Macaca mulatta: one gene and its partners. The protein of the gene in region 1 purifies or fractionates together with the protein of each later gene. This does not show direct contact. Links are inferred from orthologs where the notes say so. Each region holds a gene or a part of one and is shown in the gene's direction. Other genes may lie near its edges. The genes, in order: ANAPC13, CDC26, CDC27, ANAPC4 and ANAPC7.

Evidence for each region.
Region 2: the proteins of ANAPC13 (region 1) and CDC26 purify together in Homo sapiens (affinity purification with mass spectrometry; 4 studies listed by BioGRID and IntAct, counting the BioPlex papers as one, with this or other methods). This does not show direct contact. The link is inferred for Macaca mulatta from reciprocal best matches to the Homo sapiens genes ANAPC13 and CDC26.
Region 3: the proteins of ANAPC13 (region 1) and CDC27 purify together in Homo sapiens (affinity purification with mass spectrometry; 5 studies listed by BioGRID and IntAct, counting the BioPlex papers as one, with this or other methods). This does not show direct contact. The link is inferred for Macaca mulatta from reciprocal best matches to the Homo sapiens genes ANAPC13 and CDC27.
Region 4: the proteins of ANAPC13 (region 1) and ANAPC4 purify together in Homo sapiens (affinity purification with mass spectrometry; 9 studies listed by BioGRID and IntAct, counting the BioPlex papers as one, with this or other methods). This does not show direct contact. The link is inferred for Macaca mulatta from reciprocal best matches to the Homo sapiens genes ANAPC13 and ANAPC4.
Region 5: the proteins of ANAPC13 (region 1) and ANAPC7 purify together in Homo sapiens (affinity purification with mass spectrometry; 3 studies listed by BioGRID and IntAct, counting the BioPlex papers as one, with this or other methods). This does not show direct contact. The link is inferred for Macaca mulatta from reciprocal best matches to the Homo sapiens genes ANAPC13 and ANAPC7.

What each region holds. Positions count from the first base shown.
Region 1 is NC_133407.1:37,526,487-37,531,058, reverse strand, and holds the start of ANAPC13 (anaphase-promoting complex subunit 13), read left to right. Parts: upstream 1-1,529; 5' UTR 1,530-1,564; exon of another isoform or gene 1,565-1,610; intron 1,611-2,010; exon of another isoform or gene 2,011-2,184; intron 2,185-4,572. Other genes in the region: CEP63 (centrosomal protein of 63 kDa), read right to left, coding at 1,029-1,304. UniProt on the Homo sapiens protein: Component of the anaphase promoting complex/cyclosome (APC/C), a cell cycle-regulated E3 ubiquitin ligase that controls progression through mitosis and the G1 phase of the cell cycle.
Region 2 is NC_133420.1:45,040,805-45,045,425, forward strand, and holds the start of CDC26 (anaphase-promoting complex subunit CDC26), read left to right. Parts: upstream 1-1,764; coding exon 1,765-1,845; intron 1,846-4,621. UniProt on the Homo sapiens protein: Component of the anaphase promoting complex/cyclosome (APC/C), a cell cycle-regulated E3 ubiquitin ligase that controls progression through mitosis and the G1 phase of the cell cycle.
Region 3 is NC_133421.1:71,468,199-71,472,607, reverse strand, and holds the start of CDC27 (cell division cycle protein 27 homolog), read left to right. Parts: upstream 1-1,275; 5' UTR 1,276-1,398; coding exon 1,399-1,425; intron 1,426-4,409. UniProt on the Homo sapiens protein: Component of the anaphase promoting complex/cyclosome (APC/C), a cell cycle-regulated E3 ubiquitin ligase that controls progression through mitosis and the G1 phase of the cell cycle.
Region 4 is NC_133410.1:24,394,104-24,398,733, forward strand, and holds the start of ANAPC4 (anaphase-promoting complex subunit 4), read left to right. Parts: upstream 1-1,564; 5' UTR 1,565-1,639; intron 1,640-1,712; 5' UTR 1,713-1,722; coding exon 1,723-1,851; intron 1,852-4,630. UniProt on the Homo sapiens protein: Component of the anaphase promoting complex/cyclosome (APC/C), a cell cycle-regulated E3 ubiquitin ligase that controls progression through mitosis and the G1 phase of the cell cycle.
Region 5 is NC_133416.1:117,543,843-117,547,213, reverse strand, and holds part of ANAPC7 (anaphase-promoting complex subunit 7), read left to right. Parts: intron 1-865; coding exon 866-1,090; intron 1,091-2,724; coding exon 2,725-2,875; intron 2,876-3,371. UniProt on the Homo sapiens protein: Component of the anaphase promoting complex/cyclosome (APC/C), a cell cycle-regulated E3 ubiquitin ligase that controls progression through mitosis and the G1 phase of the cell cycle.

The sequences.
Region 1 (4,572 bases):
CATCTGCCAGCACAACGTAAATTAGAACAGAAAGGACTAAGCAAAGGCATTCCACCTTTTAAAGAGAGAAAATGGCATCAGTACAATCAACATATACAATTTTTACAAACAACTTTTAGAGTTGCATCTACATACATTTTAAAAGGCAGTGTGCCTGTTTATAAATCTCTACCCCATTTTAGTTTCAGAGCCTTTTTTACTACCCTGATCACTGATCATGCCACAGTCAAAAGGCAATCTCAAAAATTAATCTAAAAATAGTACTGCATTCCAAATAAGAAAATATATATACTTTGTTTTACTATTAAGCTACAGCTAACAGAAATCTAATCAACGATCCTTATGATTTTCTCTTACCTAAAAAATAAACGCAAGCACGTGAGGAACTGTATAAATACAGAGCATCTACCCTACAATACTGCTTTATAAAAGAATAAATTCTTTTAATAAGTTTAACCGGACATAAAGCTCAGGGAAAACTACTTTGTGCATATTAGTGTACGGTGCTTAAACTATACAAGATGACTAGTCTCTGACATCATACACATCTTTACTCTCCTGATGTCGTATACGACATAAAAAAAACCACATTATAAGCCTAAATGTACTGTCTTCAAGTATCTCCATGATTAAAGTGTTCCTAAGAAACCGTCCTTGTTTCTTTCTATCCCTGATCTGTGTGCATGGAGCAGTTAGTTCAGGGTTCTCCAATTTCAGTCCACGATTTCTGCCATATTTCCGTACCTGCTGTACTAAACATAACCGTTTACACCAACTCACTATTTTAAAAGCTGCCAACCTTAACATGCCACCCTAAATGAGCGGGTCCCCTTGTGCCGTGAATGAAGTAGTCCTAACAGCGCTAGCTAAACAGCAGCCCTGGCCGGGAGGCCGCACAGGGGTCCCTCCGCTGAAAAGAAAGGTGGGTCCGCCGGGAAAGGTGAGTACTGGGCGCAGCTCGCCCGCCCACCTGGCTACTCTCCGAAGCGCCCCCAGCCACCCGGCCTCCGAGGAAACGCTGTGACCACCTGGCGGGGCCGAACCGCGCGCCGGGCTGCGCCATGCCGGACTACGCCGGTGTGCAGGGCATAGCGGGCCAGGCCGAGGGACGGGGCTCCGGGGCGGACGCGAGCCGGCGGGGAGGCGCCTGGTGGTTCGCAGACTGTTGCGCGAACCGGCCGCAAGCCATGAGGCCGCGAAGCCAGAGTCACCAAGGCAGCCTGGGCCGCCTCCGGACCAGGACGCGCTCGCCCCTTGCGCTTCCGTCTTGCGCACGGGCGGTTACACGGCTGCAGCAAGCGCATCCCTCAGCCTTCCCGCCGTTACCTCGGGCGTGCACTGCGCACGCGCGCCACCACTAAGCTTACGTCCAGCCTCAGCAGTCGGAGCGTTCGTTCCGCCCACTGCCCCCACACTTTTAATAATTGAATCAATGTCTTCTCCAGACTTCCCCTGCACGCGAGCAAATGGACTCACCCACATCCGGGAATCCGAGAAAGAGCGTGCAGACACGTGATGCGGGGCGTGGCAGGAGGAAGCGTCTGCCGCGCTGGGCCGCGTAACGGTAAGGGTTTGCAGCGCCCCCGGCCTAGGTTTTGGAGGCGCGGGAATGCGTTCGTGGCTCAGTGTCGGACTTCCCCCTATTTCCATCGGCCGAGGCTGTCACTTTACGCTCATAACCGTTTTCTTTACTGCACGCTGTGTCGGGAGGAAAGGGACTTGCTTGGCACCCCAGACCTCCCCGTCTCCGCTTCCACGTTTGGTACATCCTGCGTCAGGCCGGAAGCCGCGGCTGAGGGGCGGCCTCTCGTACAGTGTGGTGGCCTGCGAGGCTCATTTCTAGCAAGGAACAATATTTTCCCGCTTTGACCTTACAGATACATGTTTACAAAGCTATAATGTATAGAAATGGATAAGACATGTCCCTGTCCCGGGAAACGCAGGCACTGCGTGTCTGGAAAGACATACATCTGGGCTGTTTGACAGGCTACCTAGTTGGTGCCATGCTCTGTGCTTAGGGAACTATGAGATCCCCGGTGGGTACTGGGACCGCGCTCAGCCTGAGGTTTGGAGGCGGCCTCCTACAGGAAGCGACTTGAGACCTGAGATTTTTAGACTGACTATGGGTTCGCTGGAATAAAAAGGAAGAAACAAACAGCATTGCAGGCATCGGGACTGTCACGTGTAAGAAAAGTTTGTTCAGGAAACAGTGGTCGTATTGTGTGACGAGTATTTGGGACGGTGGCTGTGCCTTGGGCATTGATTAGATTATCTTGTTGCTTTCCATCCTTCCAGCCCCTTAAGAGTGAAGGCACCTTCACGCCTAACCCCGGAAATGGGATGTTGACCTCCAAGAGCTGACGCCTGCGTTGATCTTGAAAGGAAGAGTGGCATTAGTGATGTGGAAAGGGGGGTTTTAACTGTCAAGGCTGGAAAATGTGACAGGGTTTGAGGTGTTTGGAGAAGGGACAGGTGAAAAAGATTGAGGCCAAATTGTAGAAAGATCTACTAAGGAATCCTGGGTACAAAATGTACACATAACAGTTGGAGACAATAATACCTGAGCAATTGATCACAAAGCTTGTTTAGTAGATTTAAGTTAGGACAAGAAGCAAGAGTTCAAGGATAGAAGGCCTACTGAAGCTCGAGTGATCTGAGAAAACCTTACTAAAAGGTGGAAAACCTATGTGGGCCTGGGAAAGTCAGGTTTGGATCAGCTGAGGAAAGTGAAAAGGGTATCCCAGGAGACACAGCAGCAAGGACAAAGGAGTAGCAGCAGGAAAGTGGGGAGCTCTTATAAGACAGGGACTTCAAAAGTATAACCAAAACTTCGTCTTGCTTTGAGTTATCCACTGGGTAGTAGGGGGTTAATTATTGAGTACTGGATTAATTAAGCCCTCACCTGGCTCACCGGTGACAGAAGTAGCAGGGCGCGTTTTGCTTAAGTTTTGCCCAGATCTTTTAAACCCTTTCCTACACACCAATCTGTGTATAATTTTTGCCAAGGTGTTGGGGATATCTTGCAGTTATCCTATGGGGGACATCTGTGAGCCTTTTTTTTTTTTTTTTTTTTTTTTTGAGACCAAGTCTTTTTTTTTTTTTTTTTTTTTTTGAGACGGAGTCTTGCTCTGTCACCCAGGCTGGAGTGCAGTGGCCAGATCTCGGCTCATTGCAAGCTCCGCCTCCCGGGTTCATGCCATTCTCCTGCCTCAGCCTCCCGAATAGCTGGCACTACAGGTGCCTGCCACCACGCCCGGCTAATTTTTTGTGTTTTTAGTAGAGACGGGGTTTCACCGTGTTAGCCAGGATAGTCTCGATCTCCTGACCTCGTGATCCGCCCACCTCGGCCTCCCAAAGTGCTGGGATTACAGGCGTGAGCCACCGCGCCCGGCCATGTGAGCCATTTTTACAAAAACTTCCACCTGCCTTGGCCCAAACCTCAGCATTCTTAGGCACAGGAGCTCATGAACATACTGAGATAACACTAAAATGGACTATGGGAAGGGACCAACTACAGACCTGACACAAATCCTCAAGGCAAGACGATGTCTGAAGTTGACCTTGTAAAGGAAAAGGCTTCCTTCCTTAAAATAGCACCCAGGCTGAGCTCTGAAAAAAGCACCTCAAGATGGTGGGTTCCACCCCGCCCCCGCCAAAATTGCTTATTGTGTGAGTCTCCATAGTCTCAGAAACAGAATAACTGAGAGTACCTTTGATGCCAGTGGCTTCTGGGCTTTTTGGATTGTGACTTTGTAACAGGGAGCACCCATAGGATGACGCCTATGATGAATCAGGGCCCAACCTTGGAAACAGGGAATCCAAAAGTATCCTCCAAGCTAGCCAGCCTTTTGGATTAGAAAGCATACCACAGATAGGATGAAATTAAGCAAGGTTGTCTACTTCTGAATTAAATAATTCATTAACTAAGGACCTATTTATTCTTTGTTATCTATAAGTAATTATTAAGACTGAACTTTGTTTTTAAGTTTAAGATAATATATTATTGCTTTACAATAAATGATAGCTCTTTTCAATCTGTTCAAGTATGTTTGAATCTGTCTTGTAGAACAAGATGTATGTGATTCAAATATAGATAAGTAAATATCATTTAATATATATTGAGCATAATTTTAGAGGGGAAAACACGTTCACATACTACGAATTAGAATCCAGCGGAAAATTTTAAGTCTGGATATTGCATAACAGTTTGCTAAGCATAAAGCAAAACATAAATTAAGGTAATTGAAAAGAAATATATTGGTATCTGTGAACTCTGGTACAAAGCAGAGTTCAGTAGTAATACATTTAAATTTAAAATACAAGTAAATGGTCCCAGATCCTACACTAAGTGTGGCCCATGACTTACCATTTTAAGAAAATTGCTGGTAGGGTGTGAATTGGTCATTTGTTGGGGTTTTTATTGCAGCTTCAGAGAAAAATGGGGAATCAGCCATGGTCAAGGAGCTAAATAAGTATCCTGGCCATTTGGGCCAGAAATTAAAGGGAGTGCAGCATTAAGAATTAGAGGAAGGAACCTCCAAGGAAGGAGCTATCCCAAAGGGAAGCAGAAAC
Region 2 (4,621 bases), on another chromosome or scaffold:
GATACATGTAATAATTTGTATCTCTATATACTTTCAAGGAGTTTTCACTTCCATCATTCTCACTTAATCCTTATCATGTTGACCTGTATAATTTTTATAGGAGGCTAAAATTATTAACCAAACTGAACAGCTTGCTTCGATGACTTCTTTATGTGTGAAATAGGAATCATTTTGTCAACTTCACAGGTTTTTGTGTTAAGAATGTAAAGAATGGGAATGGAAAAAGAGCACAGTGCTCAAGAATGATCTCACCTTTTATTCAACAAACATTTACTGACTGTTTTTATAGATACACTCTAGGGGATGCTGTGGAGAATATACAAATGATGCCATCAACAGATATTAAACTCAATTGGGGGAGTTGTGTTTTCTCAAAAACAAAACAAAACAAAACAAAATGGTTTTTGTTAACACAGTATTACCTCGGGATTTCAGGCTGTGGAATGCTCTTTTGAACCTCTTTTCTTCTTCTTCTTTTTTTTTTTTTTTTCTGAGTTGGGGTCTTATGGTGAGATCATGGCTCACTGTGGCCACCTCAAACTCCTGGGCTCAAGTGATCCTTCCATCTCAGCCTCCTGAGTAGCTAGGACTACAGGTACACACTACCAGCCTAGCTAATTTTTTTACTTTTTTGTAGAGACAGGGTCTTGCTATGTTGCCAAAGCTGGTCTTGAGCCTCCTTGTGCACTCTTCTCTCTGCCTGCCCTTCAGAAGTCAACTAAGATATCATTTTCTCCAGGAAGGCTTGCCTGACATCCTTGTCCACCCCACACTCAGCCCAGACTGGATTAGGTGCCTGTGTGATGCCAGTGCCAGTATCCTCATTAGGGTTCTCGTTATATGATATCACAGTTTTCTTTATTTTCCCCACAGATTATGACTGTACCTTTTAATTCTGTAGCTGGAGCACAAGAAGTGTTTGTTTAATGAATGACGTACACACATTTAGGATCTGTTTGGACGCTGAGGATAATCCTGTGAATTGGTGAGTTGGAGTCTTCATGAGATTTAGCAAACTGATTTTAGCATTCAGGAGTGATCACAAATCTCTGACAGTTCTCACGTAGAGTAGATTAAATTCACTGGTTTGTCCACTTTCCCCTCTAACTATACTGAGATGTGATAGTTTATTCTTTTAGCTAGAGTATTTCTTTGAATGTGACTAGAACATGAGATTAAAGTGATAGTTTGCTATTTTAAATTCTTACTGAAAGAGTTTTTGATTTTACAGAGCTGTAGATCTCCATAATGTAATAAAAATGTAATAATCATATACCTAAAGACTTTAGAAGTTGGCTGGGTATAGTAGCTCTTGCCTATAATGCCAGTACTTTGGGAAAATGAGGAGGGAGGAACACTTGAGCCCAAGAGTTTGAGACCAGCCTGGGCATCAGAGAGAGATCCCATTTCTACAAAAAACACAAAAATTAGCCAGATATGGTGGTGTACACCTGTAGTCCCAGCTACTCTAGAGGCTGAGGCAGTAAGATTGCTTGAGCCCAGGAAGTTGAGGCTGTAGTGAGCTAAGGTCATGCTACTGTGCTCCAGCCTGGGCAAAGAGCAAGATCCCATCTCTTAAAAAGACTTTAGAAGTCTGTGTGAATTCAAATAAAGTTTTAATACTTCCATTCACTTTAGTACACAGGCTTGCAAACTGATTTTATGTTTTGTATCTGAGACTTTATTACCTTCAGTTTTTCCTCCTCTCTTTCATTTTTATCAGCTAATAGTTCACTGGGTTTGGCCCTTAGTGTTGACTTCAGTATGCTGAGACGAAAACCAACACGCCTAGAGCTAAAGCTTGATGACATTGAAGAGTTTGAGAGCATTCGAAAGGACCTGGAGGTATGAATACAACTTTGTGTTTTTTTGAGATGGAGTCTCGCTGTGTCACACAGGCTGGAGTATAGTGGCATGATCCTTGGCTCACTGCAACCTCTGCCTCAGCCTCCCAAGTAGCTGGGACTATAGGTACATGCCAGCATGCCCGGGTCATTTTTGTGTTTTTAGTAGAGACGGGATTTTGCCATGTTGGGGCCAGGCTGGTCTCCAACTCCTGACCTCAAGTGATCCATCCGCCTCAGCCTCCCAAAGTGCTGGGATTACACATGTGACCCACTGCACCCAGCCAGTGATTGATTGCAGAAATCATGTCTGTTTGCATCACCATTTCCTACCATCTAGCTCATGGTAGGAGCCCCATATGTATTTTTAAGTGTGGCCTTGCTACATGGTATTAGATGTCCATTAATAAGACTTAAATTATTCAGTGGTCTACAGAATAAATTCCAAATTCCCTAGCATGGCATATGAGGTCCTTTGTGAGCTGGTCCTTGCTTATCTCTCCACTTTCACTGCTGGGTTATCTTTAATCTCAATGCCTATACACAAGTGTTCCCTTTGCCAGAAAAGTCCTTTATTTTTCTTTGCCAGGCTAACTCTTACTTCTTCCAGCCCCCAGCTGGGTTAGGCTCAACCTCATCCTCCTGTGCTAACCTCTCTCATAAGCACTGTTAGTCTCTGTTGTAATTGTCTGTTTGCTTTTGTTTTCCCTCACTGGGCCATAAGCTCCTTGAAGTCAGGGATTAGTATATTTCTGTCTGCATCTGTTCCCTGCAATACCAGGCCCAAAGGAGGGCTCAATACAAGTCTATTTTCATTTGCTGTCCTAGCAGATATCTTGTACTATATGGCAGAGGACAGTACATTTTGCATGTATTTACCAACAGCTTTATTATGGATTGTATATGCTTCATATTAAGACTAATAACTTAGATTTCTTCCCCCTGCTTCATCCCAAGACACTTTAGTGTTCTCGAAGCATCATAATTTCTGCTTTTAAAAAACTCATATATTATTAAGGATGAGCTTTAAAGTATGGCTTAAACTTCAGTTGTTACAAATCTCATAAAATGCTAGCATGCCGAACTTTGACTCTACAGAGTCAGCTCACTATTGAGTTAGTCTTTTCACCAAAGGCAGTTATCTAGTGGGTTTTGCCCTGTTTTAGAGTAACTTAGGAAGCAGGGACAGTCATGCCCTAAAGTGAAACCAGTAGAAAACTGGCCTGTTTCATTTATTACCAACATGAGTTTGATTATCTACTGTGACTCTAGCTTCTGAAACAGCAGTTGCTCAAAGTGGGAACCCTTTTAAGTGATTTCATTCCACTTGGATATTCTCAGAATGATAGAGTTGTTTGCCTTTTAGAACTTGTTTTCACAAAGATATTTAGGTAGAACTTTCTAACATCACTTACTAGTAATCAGGAAGGTCATTTGCCACATAAAAGGCAATACCTTATTTTATTCACTGTAATACTTTGTGAGTGTTGGCATTTATTTTATTTTTTATTTTTATTTTTGAGACAGGGTCTTGCTCTGTCGCCCTGCTGGTGTACAGTGGCATGATCACCACTCACTGCAGCCTCTACCTGCCAGGCTCCAGTGATCCTACCACGTCCGGCCCCCTGAATAACTGGGAATACAGGCATGTGCCACTATGCCTGGCTAATTTTTAAATTTTTTGTGGGCCGGGTGTGGTGGCTCACGCCTGTAATCCCAGCACTTTGGGAGGCCGAGGCAGGCGGATCACGAGGTCAAGAGACCATCCTAGCTAACATGTTGAAACCCCATCTCTACTAAAAATACAAACATTAGCTGGGTGTGGTGGCATGCACCTGTAGTCCCAACTACTTGGGAAGCCGAGGGCAGGAGAATCGCTTGAACCTGGGAGGTGGAGGTTGCAGTGAGCCGAGATGGCGCCACTGCACTCCAGCCTGGTGACAGACCGAGACTTGGTCTGAAGAAAAAAAAAAAATTTGTGGGGACAGATGGAGTCTCACTATGTTGCCCAGGCTAGTGTCAAACTCCTGGGCTCAAGCAGTCCTCCCAAAGCAGTGGGATTTACAGGCATGAGCCACTGCGGTCAGCCCGATGCTTGGCATTTAAATGCCCACAGTCCAGCAGCAAGTGGTGAAGAATGGTGGTAATTCCAGTGATTTGAGTAGCTGAGCCATTCTATTATTATTAAGGAATTTTGGATAAAACATCATTTCACTCTCTTAGAGAAAGTTATCATCTGTTGTCCTTACAGTCAGGTAGTGGCAGTTACGGGATAAGTGTTTCTTTTTGAAAATGATCAAACTGAGACATACTTTGTGGATTCTGCAGTCACATGTGACTTAAGAACCAAACCTTTTATCTGAAAACAAAATGAAGCCACAAAACCCAGACCTTTTGATAAGATAGCATAAAACCTTCTCATGTTACTTTTAATCTCATGGGATCAGTTAGGCTATAGATTTTTGGTGGTTATTTCTTTACCAGTCAATTTATTTTTCTGTCTATTCTCTAGAATAATAAATTTGTTGAAATACCCTTTGCTCCCCCTTGTCTGCTCTTACATCTTTCCAGTTGTAGCTTCCTGTTGTACCACCACACCCCAACTCCTTACCTCGTCTCTTTGGCAGTGTTGACTTCCCTCTGTCATAGGTCATAGCCCGGATCACCCTATAATCGTCTCTTTGGCTGTTTACCTATTAGACTGTGACATCCTGGAGGGCAGGGGTTACATCTTTTTTTTTTTGAGATGGAGTCTCACTCTGTCACCAGGCTGGAGT
Region 3 (4,409 bases), on another chromosome or scaffold:
ATGGAAGAAAAAATATCTCCCTCCAACATCACCCAAAGGGAAATTTCCAAGCAATGGAATATATCATGAGTCTCACATCTAGCCTAGAGAACTCCTGACTAGAAGAGTAACCTTCAAAAACCGTTTTTCTCTTCTGCTGAAAAACAAAATTTAAACAGTTCCCTAGTTCACTCTCCTTCGGAGGAGAGGAAGAGCAGAAAGGAAATACAAGAGAGTCTACATTGCGTGCTAGACACAGCCACACTTGTAATACATCAAATTCCCTTAATCCTTTTTTTTCAAACTAAGCAAACACAAGTTCAGAGAGGTTGTAATTTGCCAAAGACCTATGACTAGTTAGTGCTAAAGATACAATTCAAAATCAGGCCTCTGAATTTCCTACCCCCTACTCTTCCCACCACAGTGGAATGCCTCGCCTGTCAAAAATAAAAATTTCTAACGGCCTATTGAGTTTTTCCATGATCTCTTCACCTAAGTAACTATTTCCAATTAATGCCTTCTTAGCAGGCTGATCTCATTTTTCCTTCCTTCACTTTCCTATACTTATTTTTCCTCTGATTCTACCCATCCTTCAAACTCCAGTTTAAACTTTTTTTTCCTTCCATAAAACTTTCCTCATCTTAACACAATTTCCCTCTCTGAATTTTTATATTACTTATAATAGGCACCACATAATATAGCGTTCTCTGTTACACTGCTTTTCCCTTAAATAGACCTTAACCTCCTTGAGGACAGAAGCTATCCTAATATCTTTGGAGTGGCAATCTTTCCAAATTTCTTTAGCTTTCCCCAGAGCCGTGAGTAGATACTTCTGGAATGGACGAATGATCTAAACTCAATAGACAAATACTTGTTGATTCATTAAAGTCTGCCCCAAACTCTGCTGTTTCACCCTTTGCTTTATAATCTACAGCACATCAATTAACCCAGAAGGGCTGAGTGGCGAATCCACCCTGCAGCCCCGCCACGTAACGCTCCCGGGCCGCTCAGTCACGCCACGCCCAGCCTGCTGGTTGCCGATTGGGCGTGGCCCAGCCCTGGGACGGCCGATTGGGCGTGGTGTGCGTGACTGAAGGCGTGGCTGAGAAGAAAACCTACGCTTTGGGTTAGACTCGGTAGTTTCCGGGAATCTTCGACAATTTCCGGCAACGATTTTTCTCTCTCGTCGACCCACCTCGGGTATTTCCGACCCCTTTCGGGCTTTTCCGTCTGGCTCCCGCTCGGCTTTCTCCACTTCGGGAATTTCCGTGTCCCGCTCGGAAGCACTCGGCAATCGCTCGGCCTCCCCCATCCCCCGGTAACGGTCGCTGGTGAGTTTAAATGAGCCGGGGCTGGCCGGGCCGGAGCCGCTACCGGGGGGGCCTGAGGCACTGCAGAAAGTGGGCCTAAGCCTCGAGGATGACGGTGCTGCAGGAACCCGTTCAGGTAATGATAACCCTCTTCTCTGAGGCTTGGCTTGCAGCCTCAGTCGGGAAGCAGCGTAGGGCCACTCCGCGGCCTGGTGCGGCCTAGGCCCGGCTGCTTCTACCGCCTCCCTTGCTGCCGAGTCCTGCCTATCTTCCGTCAGTTCGGAGGCCTTGCCCGCAGCCTAAGCCGTGTTACCTCTGGCCCTACGTTACTTCACCCTTAGTGTGAGCGGCTTCGGCGAGAATAACCGTCTTTCCCGTCCGAGCCAACGTCCGGCCAGCCCTTCCTGTCAGCCCAGGGGCCTGGCTTGACTGGGGTTGGGAGATGAGGGGCCGAAAACGCACCCCAGGCGCTCTCTTGCCTAAAAGATGATCGAGAAGCACATTTGATCGGAGCTTGTATGATCTTCGCGATGGTAGGGCAAGTTTGCGGAGGTTTTTTTATTTTTGTCTTATGTGAGAGAGTGGAGGGAGAGTAGGATCGGTATCTTTAATACTAATTTCTATTTTGGTAACAGACTTCCTCTCCCACGTTTCCTTTCTCGGTGAATTTCCCACCGGACAATGATGGTTTGAGAAGACAACTCCAAGCCTCAGTGCTGAGGTGCAAGCACCAATACCAGGGGAGGAGGTGGAAAGGGCATATCTGGGTTGTTTTCATCCTCTCTGATGGGGATCAGGAGCATTTTGTTGTGCATGTTTATAAGGCATTCAGGAAATGAAAGACAAATAGTGGTGTTTGTGTCTGTTTCACTGCCCTTACACCAAGGTATGCTTTGACGCACAGTGCTGTGTTGCATTAAAGGAACCCTATTGGATTTTAAGTCTGTGATGCAGTGCCAAGTCATTTTCCCCTCTGACATCTGGAGAAACTGAATCTTTTGTGCCTTGGTAATGGACCAGGTCTGGGAGACTTCCTCCCACCATGTGATCTTTGACTTGATCAGAATTGACTTCTATCAACCACTGTCATTGAGTCTTGGACTTTATTTTGAAGTTATAAAGCAAACCGATTTTTAGAAATTCCTTCATATTGCCCTTAAAAGGCTTGAGGTATCAAATAGTAAATATTTTATTATGTCACTGCTTTCATATTTATTTCATTTTTCTAAACAGCATGAAATACTCATTTCTTCTAGTTTGGCTTCTTCTCCAGCTGTTTACATATAGCAGCTATTAGTGTTTGAATTAATAAAACGTTAAGATTGTATCTTATGAAATTTTCCTGTCTGTAAGTTGTATCGGTTTTTCTAGAGCTATTTCTTTTTACCAGCATAGTTTCTTTTAAGGTTTTTTTTTTATTCTGGCTGTAGATGAGGTAATTATATAATTTTTTAAGGCCTAACATGAACTTAAATAGATAAGCAGATTACTCAAGTTATTTAATTTCTGTTGCATATTCTTGTAATTTTGTTTTAATAATGATTTTTTTTTTTTTTTTTTTGCCTTCTCTGGCCCCAGAAGTCTTCTAAAGTGATAAACTAGTTGCACTGATAGACGATAACCACCATTTAATAATAATTTCAGACTTTATAAAAGCATGGAAGGCCGGGCGCGGTGGTTTACACCTGTAATCCCAACGTTTTGGGAGGCCGAGGTGGGTGGATCACCTGAGGTCAGGAGTTCAAGACCTGCCTGGCCAACACGGGGAAACCCCGTCTCTACTAAAAATATTAAAAAATGAGCCGGGCGTGGTGGTGGGCGCCTGTAATCCCAGCTACTCGGCAGGCTGAGGCAGGAGAATTGCCTGAACCCAGGAGATGGAGGTTGCAGTGAGCTGACATGGTCCCGCTTCTCTCCAGCCTGGGTGACAGAGTGAGACTCCGTCTCAAAATAAATAAATAAATAAATAAATAAATAATAAAAGCATGGAAAAGAAAAGGAATATGTATCCTATTTCTAGATAGTACCCATTAGGTTTCCTATTTGCCCTTAAAGTACTCTTAGCAGTAACACACTTCAATATTTTTAAGGCTTAAATGTCAAATTTGCTTCTTTTTCATACTAGCATTGTCCATTAGATTTTTGAGATAGTGGTAGAAAGTTTTAGGATATAACTAGGTAAAAATTTTGGTTGTATAGTATAAGAAGAAGCCATTCAAGAAGGGATTTGGAGCAGTGAGAAGAACAAGCAACTTTAACTACAATGATAAAGATCAATGATCAGGGATAGTGCTGCAAATGGGAAAGAATTAGGAAGAGAATAAAAATAGGACAGACACATAAGATACTGTCTTTATTTAAAAAAAAACAAAAACAAAAAACTATGATGACTGATTGCATGTATTTGGAAAGCAGTGAGAGTAAGTTGGAAAATTGTTCTTTCTTGGAATGCCTCAGAGTTGATGGTATTACTAGGCATAGGAAGAAGTTCACAGAAAAGATGAACAACTGTTTTCTGCATTTTTTTTTCTTTAAAGTTTTAACGTAGAATGGCCAGGCTGATATACCATATATGCCTAAATTAAAACTCCATCTCAAATTACCACTTCTCAGAAGAGTATTACTTTATATTTGAGTCCTTATAAAAGTCTCAAATATGAGGCAGAAGTTCTGTCAGTTCCTTTATTTTTAATAGTAACTATTTGGAAAGACACACTAGGCTAAGTGACTTCAGTGAGAGCTTTTTGGAAAAGTCATCTGATGAAATTGGTTTTTTAAAAAGAAGCAAAGAGATTTTATATAGATTTAGCAATTATTCCCGGGTGAAGCAAGACTTCACAGGAGTGTTGGATGAAGTTGTAAATAAGCCTTTCAAAAATTGATTTAATAAGCAATATAGCAATTGGGTACCATATACATGATATTATTTTAGAGATCATTAGATGGTGAAGAAGTACTTTTGGCTGGGGATAAAATGTTCAGGGACAGCATTTAACATGGATTCACGGGGAGGGGGGAGTGGGGAGGGATTGCATTGGGAGTTATACCTGATGTAAATGACGAGTTGATGGGTGCAGCACGCCAACATGGCACAGGTATACATATGTAACAAACCTGCAC
Region 4 (4,630 bases), on another chromosome or scaffold:
TCATTTTCACGTGCTGTGTGGGTGTTTGTATTCAGGTAAATTCCAGGAAAATGGACACTCAATTTCCATTAGAATATCAAGTGCATAGATACTGGACCCCCACCAGGTGATCCATTATAACCGCCCCAAAACATTAACACCTGAAAATGCGTTTTGTGAAAAACAAAGGCGGATGCATTTTTACCTTAGAAATGTTGATTCTGGAAGAGTTGGGGGCACATGCTAAGTTGTCTGCGGCAAAGGCAAGGGTTGCAAAGCCCCTGAAAGGAAACAGGGTAGGTATAAAGTCAAAGGCTAAGAACAGTACTTGGCACAAAATAGTTACTTGATGCTGAATGAATTAGTCTCCCTCCGTCATCTACTTCCCAGGGGCTAGATCCAGACAAAGGTCTAGAAGATGGGGCCTGTTCAAAGTTAAAGGTCCTGCGGTCTCTTTCTTCTTTGAACAAGTCAAAGGTAGTGAAAAGTAGACTTTCTACCAGAGGGTTTAAGAACCCTAGGATGACACTGTCACATTCTCTTAGGGAGGTCATAGCTGTGGGAACTGTGAACATGTTGACTCATTTAAATGTGTCCTACATAAAGCAACATCAGATGAATTCTGATGTACAAGTCTGCCAGGCTGACCCGTGAGCCTCTGGGCAGAGTTCCTGTCCCATGCATTCGTGTAGCCTCAGTTCCCCCACATAGTAAATGCCAAGAAGAAATCGTGTATGAGCCTACACTCTCTTCGTTATGATGGGTCTGCAACTATCAATATGTTTTGAGGGTTAAATGGGATGAGGTGTCACAGTATTATTTTCCTGTTAGGGAGGTTTTAGGCAGGCGCCTCTTCTCTCTTCAAACTGGAATCACCCGAAGAGTTTTAGTAAATACTGGGCCCATCCAGGGTTAATTTTCTTCTAATTGGTTTGGGGTGCTGCTTGGAGAGGGGGACTTTTAAAATTCTATACTGACCCACCAGGAATGACATGAGAACTACTTGCTTAGTAACTGTCAGAGGAGGCTCCAGCTGATCAGGACCTAAAGTTCATATTCTTTATCATCTCCCCGTTGTTGCTGAAGCCTCCCCATAAACCCCTAACGTCCCGTCGTCCACAGCAGCGAATTTCCGGGAAAACGGGAAACCTATGCAAGCATGCCCACACACGTGCACAAACGCGTTCCCAAAAGCCCCGCGTGCGGCCCCAGGGGCCCGCCCCGCCCTTCTCGGGCCCTTCTGGGTCCCCGCGCCCAGCGATCCCACCCGCACCTGGGTCTGGGGCTCCGCTCCCTCCCTCTCCGCGGCACTCGGGCTTCCCTGCCCCGCCCACGTGCCCCACCCTCCCTCGCTCCGCCCCTCGCTGCTCCCTGCCCCGCCCACGGGCCCCATCCTATCCCCACCTCGCTCCGCCCCTCGCTGCTCCCTGCCTCGCCCACAGCGCCCGGTCCCCGTCCGCCGGGTCTGGCTCTCAGCCCCGCCAAGCCCGGTGCGCGCCCCGCCCCGCCTCCTCCTCTCGCGAGGCAGTCTCGACGCCGGAAGTGCCTGGAGCGCGCGACAGCGGCGAGGCGGGGCGGTCTGGAAGCTGTGGCGCCCGGCCGGCAGAGGGAGGGGTGAGGTCGCTGGGGCTGTGTTAGTCACCGGTGGGGACTCTTTCAGGTACAGCCGCGGTCGGGGCTCCTCGTGGAGGGCCGGGAGCTTCTGCCGGCCTCTTACTGGGGTGTCGTTGCAGGGCCGTCCCCATGTTGCGTTTTCCGACCTGTTTCCCGTCCTTCCGGGTGGTGGGAGAGAAGCAGCTCCCGCAGGAGATTATTTTCCTGGTCTGGTCGCCCAAGCGGGATCTCATTGCTTTGGCCAACACAGCGGGCGAGGTGAGTGAGCCGGCGGGAGCCCGCGTGTGTTGGGTCTGCTCCCGGGGTCCCAAGAACACCGAGCCCGAGCCTGTTCTTTCGGGCCATAGGCGGCCGTAGTCTCAGTTTCCCCTTCTGCAGACATGGTGGGCCACCTGCTACCCTTGCCTCCCAGGACGGCAGCAAACTTTAAGTATGTATGCGAAAGGTGATGTCTGTGCTATTTTCGGTACTTTCATGGCTAAAGTAACATTTTTCACACAGCTTAACACCGTCACGCAATCCTGCTTCCCCAAGTCGTCTTCAGTCATTGGTTTATTAATTAAATGAACTTTTAAAAAAGCGCACGATGTGCCACTCATGAGCTAGACATAGTGGTAGATCCAGGGACCCTGCCCTAAGTTTGCTTACAGTTTTAATGGCAGAAGGAAGAGTTATTATCAAACTTCAGCTGCAGAAGTGCATGCATGTAGCTGCCACAGAGGATATATTTAAGAATCTGGCTTCTCTTGTCCACGTTTTATACTACGGGTTGGATAACCACCACTAAAAATACCTTTAAATTGGACAAGGAAGGGATGCATTGGATTCCAGAGAGAACGTGCATGAATGTTATCACCATGTCTTGTTCACATTAAATTTCATCGAGTATAAGCCAGTTGTACCCAACTTTCTGCTGAGAGTTACTACCTGCCAGCCATTTTGTAAGGAAACCTTCACCTGTGCATCTTTCCGCCTCTGGCTTGAGAGTTATCTGGCCAGGTGAGAGTTGTATAGAGTCAAATTTGGAAACTAGGTGATAAGGAAATCGTAGCACCCTGCAGACTACAGCACCATGTTATCTGCCATGATCCAGTCGCCGGGGTATTGATGTCTCATTTTTCAGGGCCCTCCATGAAATCTAGTCTCCCTCCACTGCCGGGATGCTTTGAAACTCTGTTGTGGCTCTAGAGAGCAGCAGGTGATACAGCCACAGAAGTAGGAGGGAAGGTAGACAGGAGGCACATCCGTGCAATCAGATGGGTAGGTGTGATAGAGGGCACTATTATATCCATTTTCTCAGTGAAGGAAGAAGCAAGGGTATTGTCTATGGGTGAAGATGGAGAAGAATATATTGGAAGTTTGAGAAAGAAGAGGTATGAAAAAGCTAACAAGGCAGGTGGACTTAGGAAGCCTAATAGGATTGCCTGTCAGTGTTACGAGCCACACAAGATCGGTGTTGTTATTTGAGAGACACTGGTTGAATGAGGTTGTATGTGTCTCTCTCCGTTCTGTTTGGCTGTGTGGGTGCAGGCATCGTTGGGTTTAACCAGGATTGTTGTTTTGCAAGTATGACAAAGCAAGAGAAAGATGAAAGAGAGTTGAAGTTATGTGCAAGGGGAGTGATTGTGTTTCTGAACTTTGGGTTCTAACTTGATGAAGGAGGGAAGCGAAGGCAGGGGAGAGGGACAGTAAATAGGTGGTAGAATCAATAGACTGTATCCTGGTGAGGTCAAAGAATTGGAGTTGAGTATTGTAGAGATGAGCTGTAAAGAGGGGCGGTGGATGGAAAGTGGGAAGTGTGAAATGGAGATTTTGGTGGCCCTGCAGTTGCTGGTAATGACCAGGCCAGGGGTATGACCCTGAGAGTGGCTGAGTGCAGTAGAAGATGTGATCACTGGAGGAGAGGCAATTGAGAGCTAGGGCATCATAGCTCTTGAAATCACCAAAAATGAGGATGAGTGTGTTGCTGAAAGCATAAGGGAGCCAGGTATCCAGATTTTCGAGGAATGAGGGGAATGGCCTAGGGGTCTGTAGAGGACTGCAATTAGAGGGATAGCGGTCGTATGGTGTGATTACATGTGATTCAAAGTTAGGAGATTTTCAAGAAGAGAAGAAATGGCATCAGGCATCAAGGAAGACACCTACTTCATCTCCTGCCCAAGAGTAGCAGTACTAAGGGCTGTGGGATACAAAATGGCCACCACCTAGCAAGGCTGCAGGGAAGCATTGTCCTCAGGTGAGAGGCACATTTCAGAGAAAAGTATGAAGATATTAATTTCATGATGACACCTGACCGTGAGCTATAGAAAGCACAGAGGAAGGGTTTCAGAAGTAAGGAATGGCAGGAATGGTTTCAGAAAAGAGAGGGTCAAGTCCAGGAGATGATGTAACCCGGAGTGAAGGGTGCTGTGATCTGTGAGATAAGGCAGGGTCATGGTGGTGAAGCTGAGTGTGGAGATGGGGAGGGGTCTTGGAGGAGCATGTGCATTTTGTGAAGCCTTTTCTTCCTTACTGTCAGTGGTTGTATAGAAGCTGCTACAGGGGCAGTCATAGAGCTCTTGGGCAACATTTTGATCTTCCAAGGTGGGAATTTACTGGTGTGGAAATGGAGATTTAGAATGGTTAAGTGATTTGTCTAAGATCCATGGCTAGTGAGTGACACAGCTGAAATTAGGTGCCACGTGGACTAATTCCAAGCTTCGTATAATTTGACTATATTACAGCTAGCTACCTTTTTAGTGGTGTTTGTGTTCTTTTATTTCTTTTTTTGGTTGTCACCTTGGACAGCCTTCTTTATAAAAGGTAAGTCTCCCGTTGACATAAAAGATTAGGTACAGGGCCAGGCACAGTGGCTAACATCTGTAATCCCAGCACTTTGGGAGGCCGAGGCAGGTGGATCACCTGAGGTCAGGAGTTCAAGACTAGCCTGGCCAACATAGAGAAACCCCATCTCTACTAAAAATAAAATATTAGCCGGGTGTGGTGGCATATGCATGTAATCCTAGCTACTCGGGAGGATGAGGTAGGAGAATTACTT
Region 5 (3,371 bases), on another chromosome or scaffold:
GACAGCTGTTATGTTTCAAATAAAAGAGTCTTTCTCCCTAGGTTGCTTGACAATAAGTCCTTTATTTGTCAAACTGGAAATTCACTTAAAGACTCTAGGAGCCAGGCCAGGCACGGTGGCTCATACCTGTAATCCCAGCACTTTGGGAGGCCAAGCTAGGCGGATCACCTGAGGTCAGGAGTTCGCGACCAGCCTGACCAACATGGAGAAACCCCGTCTCTACTAAAAATACAAAACTAGCCGGGCATGGTGGCGCATGCCTGTAATCCCAGCTACCCGGGAGGCTGAGGGAGGAGAATCACTTGAACCCGGGAGGCGGAGGTTGCAGTGAGTGGAGATGGTGCCATTGCACTCCAGCCTGGGCAACAAAAGCGAAACTCCATCTCAAAAAAAAAGACCCTAGGAGCCTTCCATCTTAAACCTAGCCCTGCAGGTGACCGAATGCAGCTGGAGAATAACAGCTTGTTAAGAGGCAGCAAAACCTTGGGTTTTTTTGGGAACATCATCTCTCACTACTTTGATCTCTTGGCCATATGACAAAGTAATCATTAGTGTCACATTTATTCTTCCAGCGGTCAGATGGGGTGCTCACATGCTGTGAGTTCCTTACATGTGCTTGTTTCCTTCCCTAAACTGAAGGTGCCTTTGAAGGCAGTCTTTTTCCACATCCATCAAGTGCTCTGGGGAAGAGCACTTCTTAGCTATTCCATCAACACACTTGCCTGTCTAATCCCACCATCAGTTTCCCCTGGCCTGCCGTTCGTCTGAAACTTTGAAGGTTAGCAATTTGGAGAGCTGTCAGAGTGGAAGCATGGGTTGAAGTGGTAATGGCATTGAATGTCTTAATGTGTTTTACTTTTTTCAGGTCTTATCGAGTGTTACTTAGCCTCCAACAGTATTCGAGAAGCAATGGTAATGGCTAACAACGTTTACAAAACTCTGGGAGCAAATGCACAGACCCTTACCCTTTTAGCCACCGTTTGTCTTGAAGACCCAGTGACACAGGAGAAAGCCAAAACGTTATTAGATAAAGCCCTGACCCAAAGGCCAGATTACATTAAGGCTGTGGTGAAAAAAGCAGAACTGCTTAGTAAGTGTGTGTTATTTTCTGCCCTATTCATCATTAATTTTTATGAAACCTGACCTCATTGGACACCCTTGTCCCAGCTAGTTACAGATGACCAGACAGGTGTGTGTGTTTTGCAGCAGGTCTGAGCCTGCTTGGATTGGTTTATATTTAGCCCAACCAAATGTAGCTGGCTTAGACCTGCTTGGCTTGGCTGTAGCCACCTATAATTGGTTGGTATCTGTTTGGCTCACTTTTTTTTTATTTTTTATTATTATTTTTTTTTTTTTTTGAGACGGAGTCTCACGCTGTTGCCCAGGCTGGAGTGCAGTGGTGCGATCTCGGCTCACTGCAAGCTCCGCCTCCTGGGTTCACGCCATTCTCCTGCCTCAGCCTCCTGAGTAGCTAGGACTACAGGCGCCCGCCACCGCGCCCGGCTAATTTTTTGTATTTTTAGTAGAGACGGGGTTTCACTGTGGTCTCGATCTCCTGACCTTGTGATCCGCCCGCCTCGGCCTCCCAAAGTGCTGGGATTACAGGCTTGAGCCACCGCGCCCGGCCTTTTTTTTTTTTTTTTTTTTTTTTCTTTTTTTTTTTTTTTGAGACGACCTCTCGCTCTATCACCCAGGCTGGAGTGCAGTGGTGCAATCTCAGCCCACAGCAACTTCCGCCTCCCAGGTTCAAGCGATTTTTCTGCCTCAGCCTCCTGAGTAGCTGGGTCTACAGCCATGCACTACCACACCCAGCTAATTTTTTTTCTTTTTTTTTTAGTAGAGACAGGGTTTCACCATATTGGCCAGGCTGGTTTCGAACTCCTGACCTCGTGATCCACCCATCTCGGCCTCCCAAAGTGGTGGGATTACAGGCGTGAGCCGCTGCGTCCAGCCTTGGCTCACTGTTATCTGGTTTGAGTTGTCCTGAATTAGTTTGAGCTGAATCTAACTAACTGGTTTTAGCCAGTTTGAACTGTTTGGTGCTATCTGAATTATTTTATGACTTCTCATTTGGCCCTGTTTTTTTTTTTTTTTCAGTCCTGATTTATGATGAACTCATAGTTTGGTTCATTGAATTTGGGCTAGTTGGCAAATGCAATTTGGCTTTTTAAAGTTAAGAGCCCATTAAGGCCGGGCGCAGTGGCTCAAGCCTGTAATCCCAGCACTTTGGGAGGCCGAGGCGGGCAGATCATGAGGTCAGGAGATCGAGACCATCCTGGCTAACACGGTGAAACCCCGTCTCTACTAAAAATACAAAAAACTAGCCGGGCGCGGTGGCGGGCGCCTGTAGTCCCAGCTACTCGGAGGCTGAGGCAGGAGAATGGCGTAAACCCGGGAGGCGGAGCTTTCAGTGAGCTGAGATCCGGCCACTGCGCTCCAGCCTGGGTGACAGAGCAAGACTCCGTCTCAAAAAAAATAAAATAAAATAAAAAAAATAAAGTTAAGAGCCCATTTAAAACATTGTAATTCAAACTGCAGATTTCTTAACTGAATAGGACATCAGGTGTGCTTGCCCTCGCTTTGTGTTGCACCAGTGTTATCTTGAGGATGTCTGCAAAGAGATTGTCAGAATGGTAGTTGTGTTTTTTTTGTACGTGACTTAAGATGGGAATATATTTTCAAAATGTTCAAGTAGGACAGTGAGGGTCTTTTTTATTCCACCAGGCAGAGAACAGAAATATGAAGATGGAATTGCTTTGCTGAGGAACGCACTGGCTAATCAGAGTGACTGTGTCCTGCATCGGATCCTAGGAGATTTCCTTGTAGCTGTCAATGAGTATCAGGAGGCAATGGACCAGTATAGTATAGCACTAAGGTAGGCACTAGCCTCCCTTGGGGGAAGGCCACTGAGGAGGGTAGAGGAGGCAGTGAGCTGCGTCACAGGAGTTATGGAGTTATGGAAACACACACACACTTTGTGTCCATGGTTGAAAGCAGAATAATAATAGTAATGGTAGAGGAGTTATTTGTGGATTCATGACTTCTAAAAATTTTTCTTAAAATATATTAACAACATTAGAGAACTGTTTCACTCATAACCATCCCACACCACTATAACATCTGTGTTCATTTGTATAGCTCATCTTCTGTCCTTGCCCACACATATTTTTATAGGGTTGTACCTAGTATATATTTTATATTCTTTTTCAAATCAAAGTATTGTAAGTACTTTCCCATGTTTCTATCTACTGTAGTCATTAAGAACTTGAGGTCTGAAGTTTTGAATACTACCTTCACCACCTGTGATCTTGGGCAAGTTACTAACACATTTCCTTGTTTATATCTAGCTACCTTATTAGATATTAAATGAT